Linked DNA regions of Callithrix jacchus. The protein of the gene in region 3 interacts with the protein of the main gene of each other region in a biochemical or structural test. Links are inferred from orthologs where the notes say so. Each region holds a gene or a part of one and is shown on either strand. Other genes may lie near its edges.

Region 1 (5,591 bases), on a different chromosome or scaffold from region 3:
TGATTTTCAACAAGGACATTATGTCCATTCAGTGGAGAAAGAACCACCCCTTCCACAAACAGTGCTGAAAACTAGATTTCTAGATGCAAAAGAATAAAGTTGGATCCTTATCTCACACCATATTAAAAAACGAACTCAAAATGAATCAGTGACCTAAGTATATTATCTAAAACCACAAAACGCTTAGAAGACACTATGGAGGATCCAGTCTGACCGCTCATCAGGGAAAAAAAAAATTAAAAAGAAACTACAGGGCCGGGTACGGTGGCTCACGCCTATAATCCCAGGACTTTGGGAGGCCGAGGCGGGTGGATCACGAGGTCAAGAGACTTAGACCATCCTGGTCAACATGGTGAAACCCCGTCTCTACCAAAAATGCAAAAATTAGCTGGGTGTGGTGGCATCTGCCTGTAGTCCCAGCTACTTGGGAGGCTGAGGCAGAATTGCTTGAACCCAGGAGGCGGAGGTTGCGGGGAGCCGAGATCACACCGTTGCACTCCAGCCTGGGTAACAAGAGCAAAACTCCATCTCAAAAAAAAAAAAAAAAAAGAAACTATAAGGGTAAATTTTTATGACCTTGAATTTGGCAACGGAATTTTAGACATCATACCAAAAGCACAAACAACAAAAGATGTTACCAAGAAAGTGAAGGCCAGGCATGGTGGCTCACACCTGTAATCCCAGCACTTCGGAAGGCCAAGGCAGGTGGATCACAAAGTCAGGAGTTCGAGACCAGCCTGGCCAAAATGGTGAAACCCCATCTCTACTAAAAACACAAAAAAATTAGCTGGGCACAGTGACACACACCTGTAGTCCCAGCTACTAGGAAGGCTGAGGCAGAAGAATCGCCTGAACCCAGGAGGCAGAGCTTGCAGTGAGCCAAGAGCGCACCACTGCACTCCAGCAAGAAAGTGAAAAGACATGTTCTAGAATGAGAGAAAATATTTCCAAATTACGTATCTGATTACGGTTTAACATCCAGAATAAAGAATTTCTACAATTGAACAAAAAGACAACCCAATTTAAAAATGGGTAAACAATTTGAATAGACATTTCTCTAAAAGCATATATAAATGGCCAATATGCATATGAGAAGATGTTCAACATCATTAGTCCTTAGAGAAATACAAATCAAGGTTGGGCACGGTGGCTTATGCTTGTACTCCCAGCACTTTGGGAGGTCGAGGCTGGTGAATCACTTGAGGTCAGGAGTTTGAGACCAGTCTGGCCAACATGGTGAAACCCCGTCTCTACTAAAATACAAAAGTTAGCTGGGTGTGGCGGTGACCGGCACCTGTAATCCCAGCCACTTGGGAAACTGAGGCAAGAGAATCACTTGAACTCAGGAGGTAGAGTTACAATGACTCAACCTGAGAAAGCTGATTGAAAAACATAAATAAAAAAGTTTTAGGCCAGGCACAGTGGCTCACGCCTATAATCCCAACACTTCAGGAGCCCGAGTCAGACTGATTACCTGAGGTCGGGAATTTGAGACCAGCCTGACCAACATAGAGAAACCCCCCCACTACTAAAAATACAAAATTAGCCGGGTATGGTGGTGCACACCTGTAATCCCAGCTACTCAGGCGGCTGAGGCACTTGAACCTGGGAGGCGGAGGTTGAGGTGAGCTGAGATCACGCCATTGCACCCCAGCCTGGACAACAAGAGCAAAACTCCATCTTTAAAAAAAAAAGTTTTAAAAACCACAATGAGATACTAATCCACACCTACTAGGATGGAATAAAAATAATAAAAGCACACATTGGCTAGAATCTAGAACCTGGTAGATTGCCGGTAAGAATGGAAAATGGTACAGCCACTGTGGAAAACAGAATAGTGGTTTCTAAAAAAATTAAACGTAACTACTATATAATCCAGCAATTGTACTCTTATACTATTCCTCCCTTATTCACAGTTTTGCTTTGCAAAGTGTCAGTTACCCATAGACAATTGTGGTCTGAAAATATTAAATGGAAATTTCCAGATATAAACAATTCATAAGTTTTAAATTTCATATTATTCCAAGTAGCATAATGAAATCTCACACTAACCCGCTCTATTCCAACTGGGACATGAATCATCTCTTTGTACAGTGTATCCACACTATATACACTGCCAGCTCGTAGCAGATATTGCAGGGTTTGTGTTCAAGTAATCCTTATTTTACTTAACAAAGTGTAAGAGTGATGATGCTGGCATACTGTTATAACTGTTCTCTTATTATTGTTTTTAATCTCTTGTTGGGCCTAATTTATAAATTAAACCTTGTCATAGGTATGTATGTATAGGAAATAACATAGTATATAGGGTTTGGTACCATCTGCCATTGCAGCTATCTACAGGGGATCTTGAAATATATTCCCTCTGGATAAGAAAAGGACTACTGTATATGTATACCATGAATATCATTCAGCCATAAAAAGCAATGAAGGTCTAATACATGCTACAATATGATCAAACCTTGAAATTAACATGCTAAGTGAAATAAGCAAAACACAAAAGGACAAATCTTATTTCACTTACTTGATGTCCCTAGAGTCAAACTCAGAGACAGAAAGTAGCTTAGAGGTTACCAGGTGCTGAGAGGAAAGGAAAATAGGGAGGTATTTCTTAGTGGGTAAAGAATTTCTGGGCCGGGCGCGGTGGCTCAAGCCTGTAATCCCAGCACTTTGGGAGGCCGAGGCGGGTGGATCATGAGAGATAGAGACCATCCTGATCAACATGGTGAAACCCCGTCTCTACTAAAATTACAAAAAATTAGCTGGGCATGGTGGCGCGTGCCTGTAATCCCAGCTACTCAGGAGGCTAAGGCAGGAGAATTGCCTGAACCCAGGAGGCAGAGGTTGTGGTGAGCTGAGATCGTGCCATTGCACTCCAGCCTGGGTAACAAGAGCGAAACTCCGTCTCAAAAAAAAAAAAAAAAAAAATTTCTGTTAGAGGCAGTAAAATGTTTGGAAATAGATATTGGTGATGATGGTCACATAACAGTGTAATTGTAATTAATGCCACTGAATTGTACACTCAAATGAAAAATTTTGTTACATACATTTTACCACGAAGTTTTTTTTTTTTTTTGAGACAGAGTCTTGCTCTGTCACCTAGACTAGAGTGCAGTGGTGCGACCTCAGCTCACTGTACCCTCCGCCTCCTGGATTCAAGTGATTTTCTTGAGTGAGTTTCTTGTAATCTGAGTAGCTGGGATTACAGGTGCCCACCACCATGCCCAGCTAACTTTTTTATTTTTAGTAGAGACAGGGTTTTTCCATGTTGGCCAGGTTGGAATAATCTTTTTCTTTTTTTTTTTAAACTGGCATTGTAGCCTGGGCTCAAGCCTATATTGCCAGAATTTTGGGAGGCCAAAGTGGGCAGACTGCTTGAGCCCAGGAGTTCCAGAGCAGCCTGAGCAATATGGTGAAACCCCATCTCCACAAAAAATACAAAAATTATCTTGGCATGGTGGTACACACCTGCAGTCCCAGCTAGTTGGGAGGCTGAGGCAGGAGGATTACTTGAGCCCAGGAGGTTGAGGCTATAAGTGAGCTGTGTCTGTGCCACTGCACTCCCTTTGAGGCCTGATTATCCCTGTGAGACTAACATGGTAGAGGACAGATTTCTAAAGGCAGCACTGTGAACTGCTGTCCCCTATTTACCTGACACGTGGCTTTTCATGACTGAGCCTAGGCTGTCCTGGACGCTAGCCTCTCCTTCAAGCACAGCTGACAGTGAAGCTGGAAGGAGCACCATGCTGAGCTTCTTTAGTCACCATGGTGACAAGAAACTAACACAAATATTTGCTTATGACCTCACTGGGGAAGCAGACAAGGGAGGTTAGATTGGAAGGAGGAACATCTGCAAAAGCACATCTGGAATCTCAGGGAAACAGCAGGCCAGTGGCTTTTTCCATTATGTACTCCCTTACTTGCTGTCGATGAATTTTTTAAGATCTACAATACGAATAAATCTTTTCTAGCATCTGACTGTCCTAGACTGTCTTTGGGTTCTGTCTCTGTCTCTCTCTCTCTCTCTTTTTGAGAGTCTCACTGTGTTGCCCAGGCTGGAGTGCAGTGGCATGATCTCGGCTCACCACAACCTTCGCCTCCTGGGTTCAAGTGATTCTCCGCCTCAGCCTCCCAAGTAGCTGGGATTACAGACGCCTGACAATATGCCCAGCTAATTTTTGTATTTTTAGTAGAGTCAGGATTTCACCATGTTGGTCAGGCTGGTCTCGAACTCCCAACCTCAGGTGATCCACCCACCTCAGCCTCCCAAAATGTTGGGATTACAGGCATGAGCCACTGCATCCAGTTTTCTGTGGGTTTTCTTAGACAAGGAACTCTCTCAAAGTGAATAGGTCTCTGAAGTTACACCTTCCATTTCTAGGGAATAAATGTCTAATGTTGCCATGCACTTTCTAAGCTTTCAAAACCAAAAAAACTAGCAATGATAATACAAAATAGGTATGGGCCCTAAAATGCCTGAATCATCGTCTGCTCCAAATTCATACGATGAAGTCCTAAACCCTGATACCTCAAAATGTGACTGAATTTGGAAATAGAGTCCCTAAAGAGGTAATTAAGGTAAATAAAGTTACTGGGGTAGGCCCTAATCCATAACTGGTATCCTTAAAACAAGAGAGGGAGAACACCATGTGAACATGAAGACAGCTATCTAGAAGCCAATAAATAACAAAGGTCTAAGAAACCAACTCTTCTGTAAACTTTTTTTTTTTTTGAGACAGAGTCTTGCTCTGTCACCAGGCTGGAGTGCAGTGGTGTGACCTTGGCTCACTACAACCTCTGCCTCCTGGGTTCAAGCTAGTCTCCTGCCTCATCCTCCCAAGTAGCTGGGATTATAGGCGCCCGCCACCATGCCCAGCTAATTTTTGCATTTTTAGTAGAGATGGGGTTTCACCATGTTGGTCAGGATAGTCTCGATCTTCTGACATCATGATAGGCTTGCCCTGGCCTCCCAAAGTGCTGGGATTACAGCTATGAGCCACTGTGCCTGGTCCCTTCTGACAACTTGATCTCAGACTTCTAGCCACTACAACTGTGAGAAAATACTTTTCTGTTGTTTAAACCACCCAATCTGTGGTTCTTTGTTATAGTGGCCCTAGCAAACTAATATAGGCTGTAATTATCTAAAGAAGGCATTGACTCCTGCTAGTATCTAATACCAAATTCAAGTTAACTAAAGCCTTGTCTTTAGACCCGGGCAAAAGCAATAATCAAAGTAAACTGCTTTCAAGAGACACAAGGATACGCCTGTACTAAGAAAGATAAAGACTGGCCAGGCAAGGTGGCTCACGCCTGTAATCCCAGCACTTTGGGAGGCCGAGGCGGATGGATCACAAGGTCAAGAGATTGAGACCATCCTGGCCAACATGGTGAAACTTCATCTCTACTAAAAAATACAAAAATCACCTGAGCGTGATGGCGCGCACCTGTAGTCCCAGCAACTTGGGAGGTGGAGGGTGCAGTGAGCTGAGATCGTGCCACTGTACTCCAGCCTGGCACCTGGAGACAGAGCGAGACTTTCTCAAAAAAAAAAAAAAAAAGATTAAGATTCACTTAATAGGCCAGGCGAGGTG
Region 2 (4,061 bases), on a different chromosome or scaffold from region 3:
GGTGGGCGTGCGCAGGCGCGACTTTCCGGTCCCGGCCCCGCCCTGCCGAGCTCTGGGCTCGGCTTCCACCGCGGCAGGCTGCCTGCTGGTCACGTGCGACACACCAGCCAACGAGAACCGAGGTCCAGGCCTGTACGGCGAATTTTCAACCTGGCGGAGCAGCAGTGTGCCACCTGCAGTAGCAGAGATGTTGTGTATAGAGACGGCTCAGGAATACAGGGCCCGCTCAGAGACAAGTGATGGCTTTGCAGCCGGAGGGAATAGGAGGGAGCAAAGACACATGGAGTTTGGGTGACTCCATGAAAAACAGGATTTTGATATATATGTGTCCCTGGAGTGTGGTAGCATGATCTGGGATCACAGCAACCTCCACCTCCCAGGCTTAAGCGATCCTCCGGCCTCAGCGTCCCAAGTAGCCGGGATTACAGGTGTGCACCACGACGCCTCGCTGTTTTTGATTTTTAGTAGAGATGGGGTTTCATCATGCTGCCCAGGCTGGTCAACTCCTGAGTTCAACTGATCCGCCCACCTCGGCCTCCCAAAGTGCTGTGATTACAGGTGTGACCCACCATACCCAACAGCTGCCCAGTTTTGTATTCTGCATGAAACTGTAATGGGGGATACATAGCTTTATGCATTTGTGTAACCCCATAGAAACTGTACAACACAGACAAGGACCCTACTGTGAAACATGGGCTACACTTTACAATAACATATCAGTATTGGCTAATCAACAGAAACCAACACACCAACTAATACAAAATGTCAGTAGGAGAAACGGGGGGAACTGTACTAAAAATCAATTATTTTCAACTGCAAACTCAGGTTAGGGAGCAGACCCAAGAGGTATCATGGACTCACTGACCATTAGGGTAGCAGGGGAGGGAGGACTCAAGGACCACTGACAGGGCTTGAGCAACTGGGCATCTGGCTGGGTCATTACTCAGACAGGACAGCTGTAGACAGGCCCAATGAGCAGTTGGATGTCTACATCTGAAGCCCACGGGGTGTAGTGGAGCTGCTGTAGCCCAAAGCAAGTGTGATTAGGAGAGAAAAGGGCTGGAGGTGGGACACTCAAGAGCCAAGCAGAAGTACTGAAGAATGGGAGCCCGCTGTTGAGCTTTGAGCCTGAGCGGCCGAGGCTTGCACAAAACACATTCGGCGTGGCCGAGCAGGCCTCTGAGGCAGGGTCTCTCCCGGAAGTCTAGGGCCTCCTTCCCTGGGGCCACAGCTGCTGAAGGTTATGAGACTGGGGAGTCCCACCCCCAAGGCTCTCACAAAGCTCCTCCCTTCTACTCGGGCCTGGCAGGATGCCCTGGCTTAAAAGGCTGTGAGGTTCACATCCCCACCAGACAGAGGAGCTGGAGAAACACACCTTCTAAATGTGCAAGCGCACGTGCGCATACACACACACACACACACACACACACACACACACACACACAAAGTTCCCCAGTGCCATAGAGCGAATTTATTGTGAAAGCTCGTGGGGTGAGGAAGGGCCGGGGCAGGCTCTAGGAGGCCGAGTCGGAGGCCTCTGAGCTGTCTTTGACATCTGTGCTCTCTGTGGTCTCGCTGACCTCGCTGAGGTCCTTGCTGTCCCCTCCACTATCCTCAGCAGCCAGGCCCTTCTCCTCACGACAGGCCTCTCCTGAGTTCGGAGGTGAGCTGCCTTTGCTCTCCACCTTGTTCTCCATGGCGCCCAGCACCATGTGCCTGCCCTTCTCCTTCAGCTCCAGGTGCCGCCTCAGCTGCCGCCAGGAGCCCAGGGAGAAGCGGGAGCAAAGATACAGGGCCTAAGTTTCCAGACAAGGGGAGCCTGGACTTGTCGCTGGCTGAGGGGACGGGCATAATGAGAAGCAGCAGGGCTAGGAAAGACACACGGGACTGAGTGGGGACACCTGGCTGGAGCCTTGCCCACTGCTCCCTGGGTTCACTGACTACCATGGAGGCCCCCACGACCGAGTGCTGCCCCTTCAACAGCCCTGCCACCTTGGGCAGAACCCTGACTCAGAACTACCTCTGAGCAGGCAGGCCACCCACTGGTCCCAGGCTGTCCCACTTCCCTTCTAAAAGCCTCCTCCGTCTGCCTCTCCCACCACCCTCCAGGCTGCTGCTAGGCAGACAGCCTCCTCTAAAGCCCAGCCTAGGAAACTGAGGCCGTGAGTCCTGGCAATGTGGCCACAAGGGCTGGCGCCCAAAGTTGGTCTTGCTTCCAGCCACTGTCCCAGGGCTCTCAAGTGCCGCCACCTCCCCCCCGCCCACAGGGCCGACCCCACTGGCCTCGCTTGGCTAAACTGCAGCGCTCTCACCTCGTCCGCCATCTGGGTGAGATCCCGCTTCATGGCGTAGGCATCCTCCCCATCTGCATAGTATTTGGGCTCCACTTCACTGATCCTGGGGGCAGAGGGCAGAGAGCAAGGAGGAAGACCCATACCCAGGACACATCCTCCTCTGCTCCTGGCATCATGGCTACTGAAGCAAGGTGACATGTTTTCTCCCTGAAGGCTCCATCCTGAGACAGCAAGTCCAGCCTGAAAGAATCCTCCAGTGGCCCCACTTCCAGTAAAGGCTCCAGGTAACAGTGGCCCGCCCCACCCCTGTCCTGTTCCTGTTCTGTGTCCTTAGCCTGGCTACTAAGGATTCCCCTTCTGTGGTTTCTTGTGAGCTGAAGCCCTGAATTCAGCCTTCCCCTTCCCTTTCTGCCCTGCTTCCTATCCCTTACTGAGCTGCCTCACCACAGTGATGAAAATACAGGAACGTGGGTGAGCCCGTTTGAGGGCTGCATCCCTATGCAGCACAGCCCAGCCCGCACTGGGGAGGCACGCGTGCAGGCTCGGGTGGCCATGTCCTGGAAGGCTGGCCCTGTCAGACCTCAGACATGAGGACTGTTGACTTCACTATAAAGCAGTTTCCACCAGACATCCTCATCTGGGTCACAGATCCTTCCTGCCAGCACCCAGCCGAGGCCACCGCCCTTCCCAACAGTCAAACTGGTGCTGAGTGCAGTTAGCATCCCTCCACGGGCACACGGGTAGCCCACCCCAGCTTCACTTGCAAGCACTTTTTTCCACTGTCTACTGGGCACACTGACTGCCAGGTTCTCTCTCCTGGGCCAGGCAAACGGGGCCTCCGGGTCCTCGGCAGACCTGCCCCATCCACTAGGCTGCCTGGCCGCCGGCCCTTTCTTCCTGAACATGCATTCTCCTTGCTTCTGCTCTCTCTTAGATGCTTCCAGGCGCTTGGTCACACAGAGTCCTGCTCCTTAGCATCTGCTCATGCCAGAGACCCACACATCTCTATTCCCAAACATGACTAAACAACCCTGTGCCCTTCACCAGCCTCAGCCAGCATGGGCCAGAGCTCCTCCATCACAACACACATGGAGCACATTTCAGCCATCAGCCACCAAGTGAGTGGGGAGGCATCTTGGCAGCGCTGGGATCCACAGCCTCCTCCCCGTAGCTAGCCCACCCCCTGCCTGGAAAGCAGCTCAGCTGGTCTCAGCGGCCCTGACAGCCAGACCTGGGACCAGCCCCAACCCATTACAGACACCAAGATCTACTTACTGAAAGTTGAGGGTGTTGGAATAGAGGTGCAGGGCGGCCCGGTTACTGCAGGAGAACAAGGCACTGCTGAGCTGCACGGATTGGGCCAGGTAGGGTAGCATGTCCAGGCCCTGCCCCTCCCCTCTGGTGCCTCCTTCCCACCAATCCCACTTCCCGGGTCTTCACCAAAAGCCAAGGCCCCCAGGACTCCCGTCAAGGCAGCATCTCTCCCCTCAATCCCCCTTCCCTCAGCCCAGCTTCCACCTCTTCCTGACATGCAGGGAGACGTATTTGGCATTGAAGTTCTCTATCATCGCTCGAGAGGCCTGGTCCATCAGTTTCTGTGCCAGACCGAGGCGCCGATGGGAACGCTTCACAGCCTGGTGGAAGAGCAGAGAGGGGATGAGGGGCTGGGACCCTGAGGGCTGCCCCAACTAACCCCCACTTCCACCCCCACCAGAGCCTGGGTGGACTCTACAAACCAATGAGGTGATATGTCCATGGGGCACATCA
Region 3 (4,953 bases):
TTAGCTCTGAACACTATAACTTGATAAATGAAGCATAAATCAGCTTTAATAAGTGGTAAATAATTCTACATTAAATATTTGAATAAAACTGGCAAGCTAAGAGTAGGAGATTTGATCTCATAGCCTTCTGGTATAGGAGTATCTCCTATGCCCTGCTTGCTTAATTTACCTAGCACAAAAAAAATGTTTGATTCATTTTGGTTTTTGTCTAACAAAAATAATAGAATGATGAAAGCAAAATTCCTTGTTTAGAATACACAGCTATAGTTTTTTGTTAAAATTCTTGCCCAGAACTCTTAAAATAGTAATAATGTATATTCATTCAGGTGTATGCAGGTAAAAGCACTTAAGTCTCTACTCCTACCCTCAACTGTAGCTGTGAGATTTTTAGGTAGCTCAATCACCATAGAAGTGTGCCTTCTCATTTCAAAGGTAAATTCCAGAGAATGTAGCATCTAGTTAATTGGTCAGTTAGGTACCATTGTGGGATGTAAATTACCAAAAATTGGTTTTATTCTTTAGAATAAGATGTTTCTTTTAATTTTAAAAATGATGTTATATTACATAGTCAGAAATACGTACATTGGCAAAATTAGTTACCAGTATAAGCTTCAAAATGTCATTTTTTTCACTAAACTTTTAAAATTTTTTTTGAGACGGAGTCTCACTCAGTTGCCCAGGCTGGAGTGCAGTGGTATGATCTCGGCTCACTGCAACCTCGGCCTCCTGGGTTCAAGCTTTAGCCTCCTGAGTAGCTGGGACTATAGGCGTGTTCCAGCATACCCAGCTAATTTTTGTATTTTAAGTAGAGACAGGGTTTCACTATTTTGGCCAGGATGGTCTTGATCTCCTCACCTCATGATCCACCTGCCTCAGCCTCCCAGTGCTGGGATTACAGGCATGGACAACCATGCCGGCCTCGTTAGATAAAATTTGATAAACATGATGGATTTGGTTGTGTGTTTTTTGTTTTTTCCTGAGATCTAGTTTGAAAATTCTGACAACTAGCAAAGTATATGGAGGCTTCTTCAGGAAAAACTGAATATATTTAATTCTCTTTACAGCCTAACAGTCCCAGTGAATATTGTTTTTATGTGGACAGTGATATGGTCAATGAATTCAAGTTGGAATTGGTAGAAAAACTTTTTGCTGAAGACACAGAAGCGAAGAACCCATTTTCTACTCAGGTAAATGAACTTATTTGTTTTATATTAAATTTCATTAATTTTTATTCTGAAGTGACTTTAACTTGTTTTTTATATATAAAGTGTGGCCATTGTAAAAACTCATGTATTTGCTGTTTTAAAGGACACCGATTTAGACTTGGAGATGTTAGCTCCCTATATCCCAATGGATGATGACTTTCAGTTACGTTCCTTCGATCAGTTGTCACCGTTAGAAAGCAGTTCTGCAAGCCCTGAAAGCGCAAGCCCTCAGAGCACAGTTACAGTATTCCAGCAGACTCAGATACAAGAACTTACTTCTAATGCCACCACTACCACTGCCACCACTGATGAATTAAAAACAGTGACAAAAGACCGTATGGAAGACATTAAAATATTGATTGCATCTCCATCTCCTACCCACATACATAAAGAAACTACTAGTGCCACATCATCACCATATAGAGATACTCAAAGTCGGACAGCCTCACCAAACAGAGCAGGAAAAGGAGTCATAGAACAGACAGAAAAGTCTCATCCAAGAAGCCCTAACGTGTTATCTGTCGCTTTGAGTCAAAGGTATTTATGTGTAACATTCAAGTTATAGCTCTTTTATTATTTTTGAGAAAATGTATGTGACAGTACATAATTTTTAAATGTATAGCAAACCTGATGTATATGCTCTAAGACAAATTCTTAAGCACTCAAAAAGTTTTCTAAATTAACCTCATGTATTTTTTTCTAAAATAATTATAAATTCTAAAATTACCTATCTAAATGTAAGAGTCTTCTGACACCTTTAAAATAAAATCCAGCTCAGGAAGTTCTGTAATCAGATATACTTCTTGAATTTGTTTAAATCAAGACTAGTTAACTACCCTCGCTACTTAGATATTTCCATTTCTTTTTTTTTTTTTTTTTTTTAATTAGAGACAGGTTTTCGCCATGTTGGGCAGGCTGGTCTGGAACTCCTGACCTCAGGTGATCCGCCTGCCTCAGCCTCCCAAAGTGCTGGGGTTACAGGCATGAGCCACTGCGCCCAGCAGATGCTTCCATTTCTTAGAGCTCTTTCTTTAAGCTTATCTGAAGAAAAGCCCTTCCAATTTAAGGGTTATTTCCAATTGCACATTCCAAATTGAGTCTTCCATCTTTAGCATTCAATATAGATATTTACAAGCCCCTCTTTCAAACTGTTATTAGAGTTACTTATATTAAAGTTGCTTTTATTTTTCATTACATATTTGTAGAACCTTAGCTCGCTCTCTCTCTATATATATATTACAGGCAATATAGGTTTTTGAACTCTACAACAGGAATCTAAGCATGACTTAAGACATTACTTCTTAGGAGCTAGTTCAGACAAACATATGGACACAACCCAATTTTTAAGTTATACTTCCTGTGTATAATTGGCAAGGGGATTTCACATATTTTAAGTTTGAGGCTATAGCTAGAAGAAATATGTTCTGGTTTATAAGTGTGTGGAAGAGGGAAATGATTGCTACTCTAGTATGTCTAGACTGAGCCAGATATCAATATCAATAGTAAGGAATCACTGTTATAGCCAGAGCACATAGGTTTTTTTTCCCTGCCCAGCATTCTCACCTTGACGTAGTGCTGGGAGGTCTTTTCCCTAAGCTAGGAAAAGATCTCAGGACTTTAGATGAACTCAGAAGTACTACTTTACATTCTTTTATAAGTTACTGTGTCACTAACTCAGTTTTTACCTTGAGCTCCGCTAGGGCAATTACAGTATCTTGGGCATTTTAGTGATACTAATACTTAGCTCATGACCTAATGTGTAGTACTTCCTCAATAAATGGTTGTTGGGGCAGGGCGTGGTGGCTCAAGCCTGTAATCTCAATGCTTTGGTAGGCTGAAGCATGTGGATCACCTGAGGCCAGGAGTTTGAGACCAGCCTGGCCAACATGGTGACACCCTGTCTCTACGAAAAATACAAAAATTAGCTGGGTGTGGTCCCTGTAATCCCAGGTACTTGGGAGGCTGAAGCAGAAGAATTGCTTGAACCAGAGAGGCAGAGATTGCAGTGAGCTGAGATCATGCCATTGCAATCCAACCTGGGTGACAAGAGCAAAACTCTGTTTCAAAAAAAAAAAAAAGGTTGTTGGACTGACAGATGCATGAATACAGTAATATAAATGACAGTCACTTATCATTTACAGTTTACTGTTAGCTACAGAGGATGGGTATCCAGTTTTCTGAATACCTGACACATCAGGTCACTTTAGCAATTCTTTTTAAACATTAATTCCAATGTCGCATGCACTGAAAACTTTCATGAAAGGAACCTCAAAAATACTTGGAAGTGTTTTTTCCTACCTTGCAGGTAATTATTTATAAAATTAAAGTGCTGTACCAAACCAGGAGACTTAAAGCTTTAGGATTAAAGATAAACCATGAAAAGCATAACTACTAAGTACTGTTAGTACTACAATGTTTTCATAATAGACTGAGTTACATTTCTTAAAGACAATATATGTTTATAAGAATTTTTAAACCTGCTTGTCTCTATAATAGAAGGTTTATAGAATTAAAAAAAAAAACTAAAGAAAACTGCAAAATAAGAGAGCAGTTAGATCACTTATCTATTTGGCACTCTTAACTATCTGGAACAGCAGGGAGTCTTTATGATTATGCATTTGGTTGTGGGGAGTCTTGAAAAGTCAAAATAGTATAACAAAGCTGATGTACTTGACTCATTAGAACAGTTCTTCACTATTTAATATTAATGTTAGATATATATAGTTCATGTTTGATAACCAGATTAATATGGAGGGCAAAATAGCAGAGTGGTAAGAGCAGGGGAGAGGAGGTGCAGATATAGAGACCTAGAGTGTACTTCAATATCTGCAACTAGTGAGCAGTAGGACTTTGGGAAAGTTACCCAATAGGCCACGGGGTTCTCATTTATAAAAAGGGTATGATATGCCTGTCTTATCTACCTTGGGAACCTGAGTGAGGTTAAAATGAACTAATGAAATGTTTCATAAACTGAAAACACTATACATATGTGAAACTGATCTTGAATTTCAATAGTCCCAACAATATCACTACATTGTTATATTAGGTGGAATAAAAGGATAATGTTTAACTATTTTGACTCTACAATGTCAATTTAGTTGTGTTTGGCTCTGTTTTATAAAACAGGGATACGCATAGTGTAGAAAATGTTCTGCTAAAAATTAAGCTTTGAATGCCAGGCGCTTATGCCTGTAATCCCAACACTTTGGGAGGTTGAGGTGGATGGATCACTTGAGTTCAGGAGTTTGAGACAAGCCTGAGCAACATGATGAAACCCGTCTCTACAAAAATGTGTGTATAAATTAGCCATAATCCCAGCTACTCGAGAGGCTGATGTGGGAGGATCACTTGATCCTGGAGGCAGAGCTTGGTTGCAGTGAGCAGAGATCATGTCTCTGCACTCCAGCCTGGCTGACACAGTGAGACCTTGTCTCACCAAAAAAAGAAAAAATTAATAAAGCTTTGACTTCAGAGTTTAGCTTTTGTTGCCCAGGCTGAAGTGCAATGGTGCAATCTTGGCTCATCACAACCTATACCTCCTGAGTTCAAGCAGTTCTTCTGCCTCAGCCTCCCGAGTAGCTAGGATTATAGGCATGCACCACCATGCCCAGCTAATTTTTGTATTTTTAGTAGAGATGGGGTTTCTCCATGTTGGTCAGGCTGGTCTCAAACTCCTGACCTCAGGTGATCCACTCGCTTTGGCTTCCCAAAGTACTAGGATTACAGGCATGAGCCAATGGCTCGGCCC

The links.
Region 1: the proteins of HIF1A (region 3) and KPNA6 form a complex in vitro, tested with the Homo sapiens proteins (2 studies listed by BioGRID). The link is inferred for Callithrix jacchus from reciprocal best matches to the Homo sapiens genes HIF1A and KPNA6.
Region 2: the proteins of HIF1A (region 3) and NAA10 form a complex in vitro, tested with the Homo sapiens proteins (4 studies listed by BioGRID and IntAct, with this or other methods). The link is inferred for Callithrix jacchus from reciprocal best matches to the Homo sapiens genes HIF1A and NAA10.

Annotation. Positions count from the first base shown.
Region 1 is NC_133508.1:68,746,800-68,752,390, reverse strand, and holds the start of KPNA6 (importin subunit alpha-7), read right to left. Parts: upstream 3,749-5,591; 5' UTR 3,746-3,748; coding exon 3,652-3,745; intron 1-3,651. UniProt on the Homo sapiens protein: Functions in nuclear protein import as an adapter protein for nuclear receptor KPNB1. Binds specifically and directly to substrates containing either a simple or bipartite NLS motif.
Region 2 is NC_133524.1:149,841,219-149,845,279, forward strand, and holds the end of NAA10 (N-alpha-acetyltransferase 10), read right to left. Parts: coding exon 4,031-4,061; intron 3,929-4,030; coding exon 3,813-3,928; intron 3,615-3,812; coding exon 3,570-3,614; intron 2,535-3,569; coding exon of another isoform or gene 2,398-2,534; coding exon 2,313-2,397; intron 1,797-2,312; coding exon 1,515-1,796; 3' UTR 1,449-1,514; downstream 1-1,448. UniProt on the Homo sapiens protein: Catalytic subunit of N-terminal acetyltransferase complexes which display alpha (N-terminal) acetyltransferase activity. Acetylates amino termini that are devoid of initiator methionine.
Region 3 is NC_133509.1:96,454,867-96,459,819, forward strand, and holds part of HIF1A (hypoxia-inducible factor 1-alpha), read left to right. Parts: intron 1-1,064; coding exon 1,065-1,187; intron 1,188-1,308; coding exon 1,309-1,742; intron 1,743-4,953.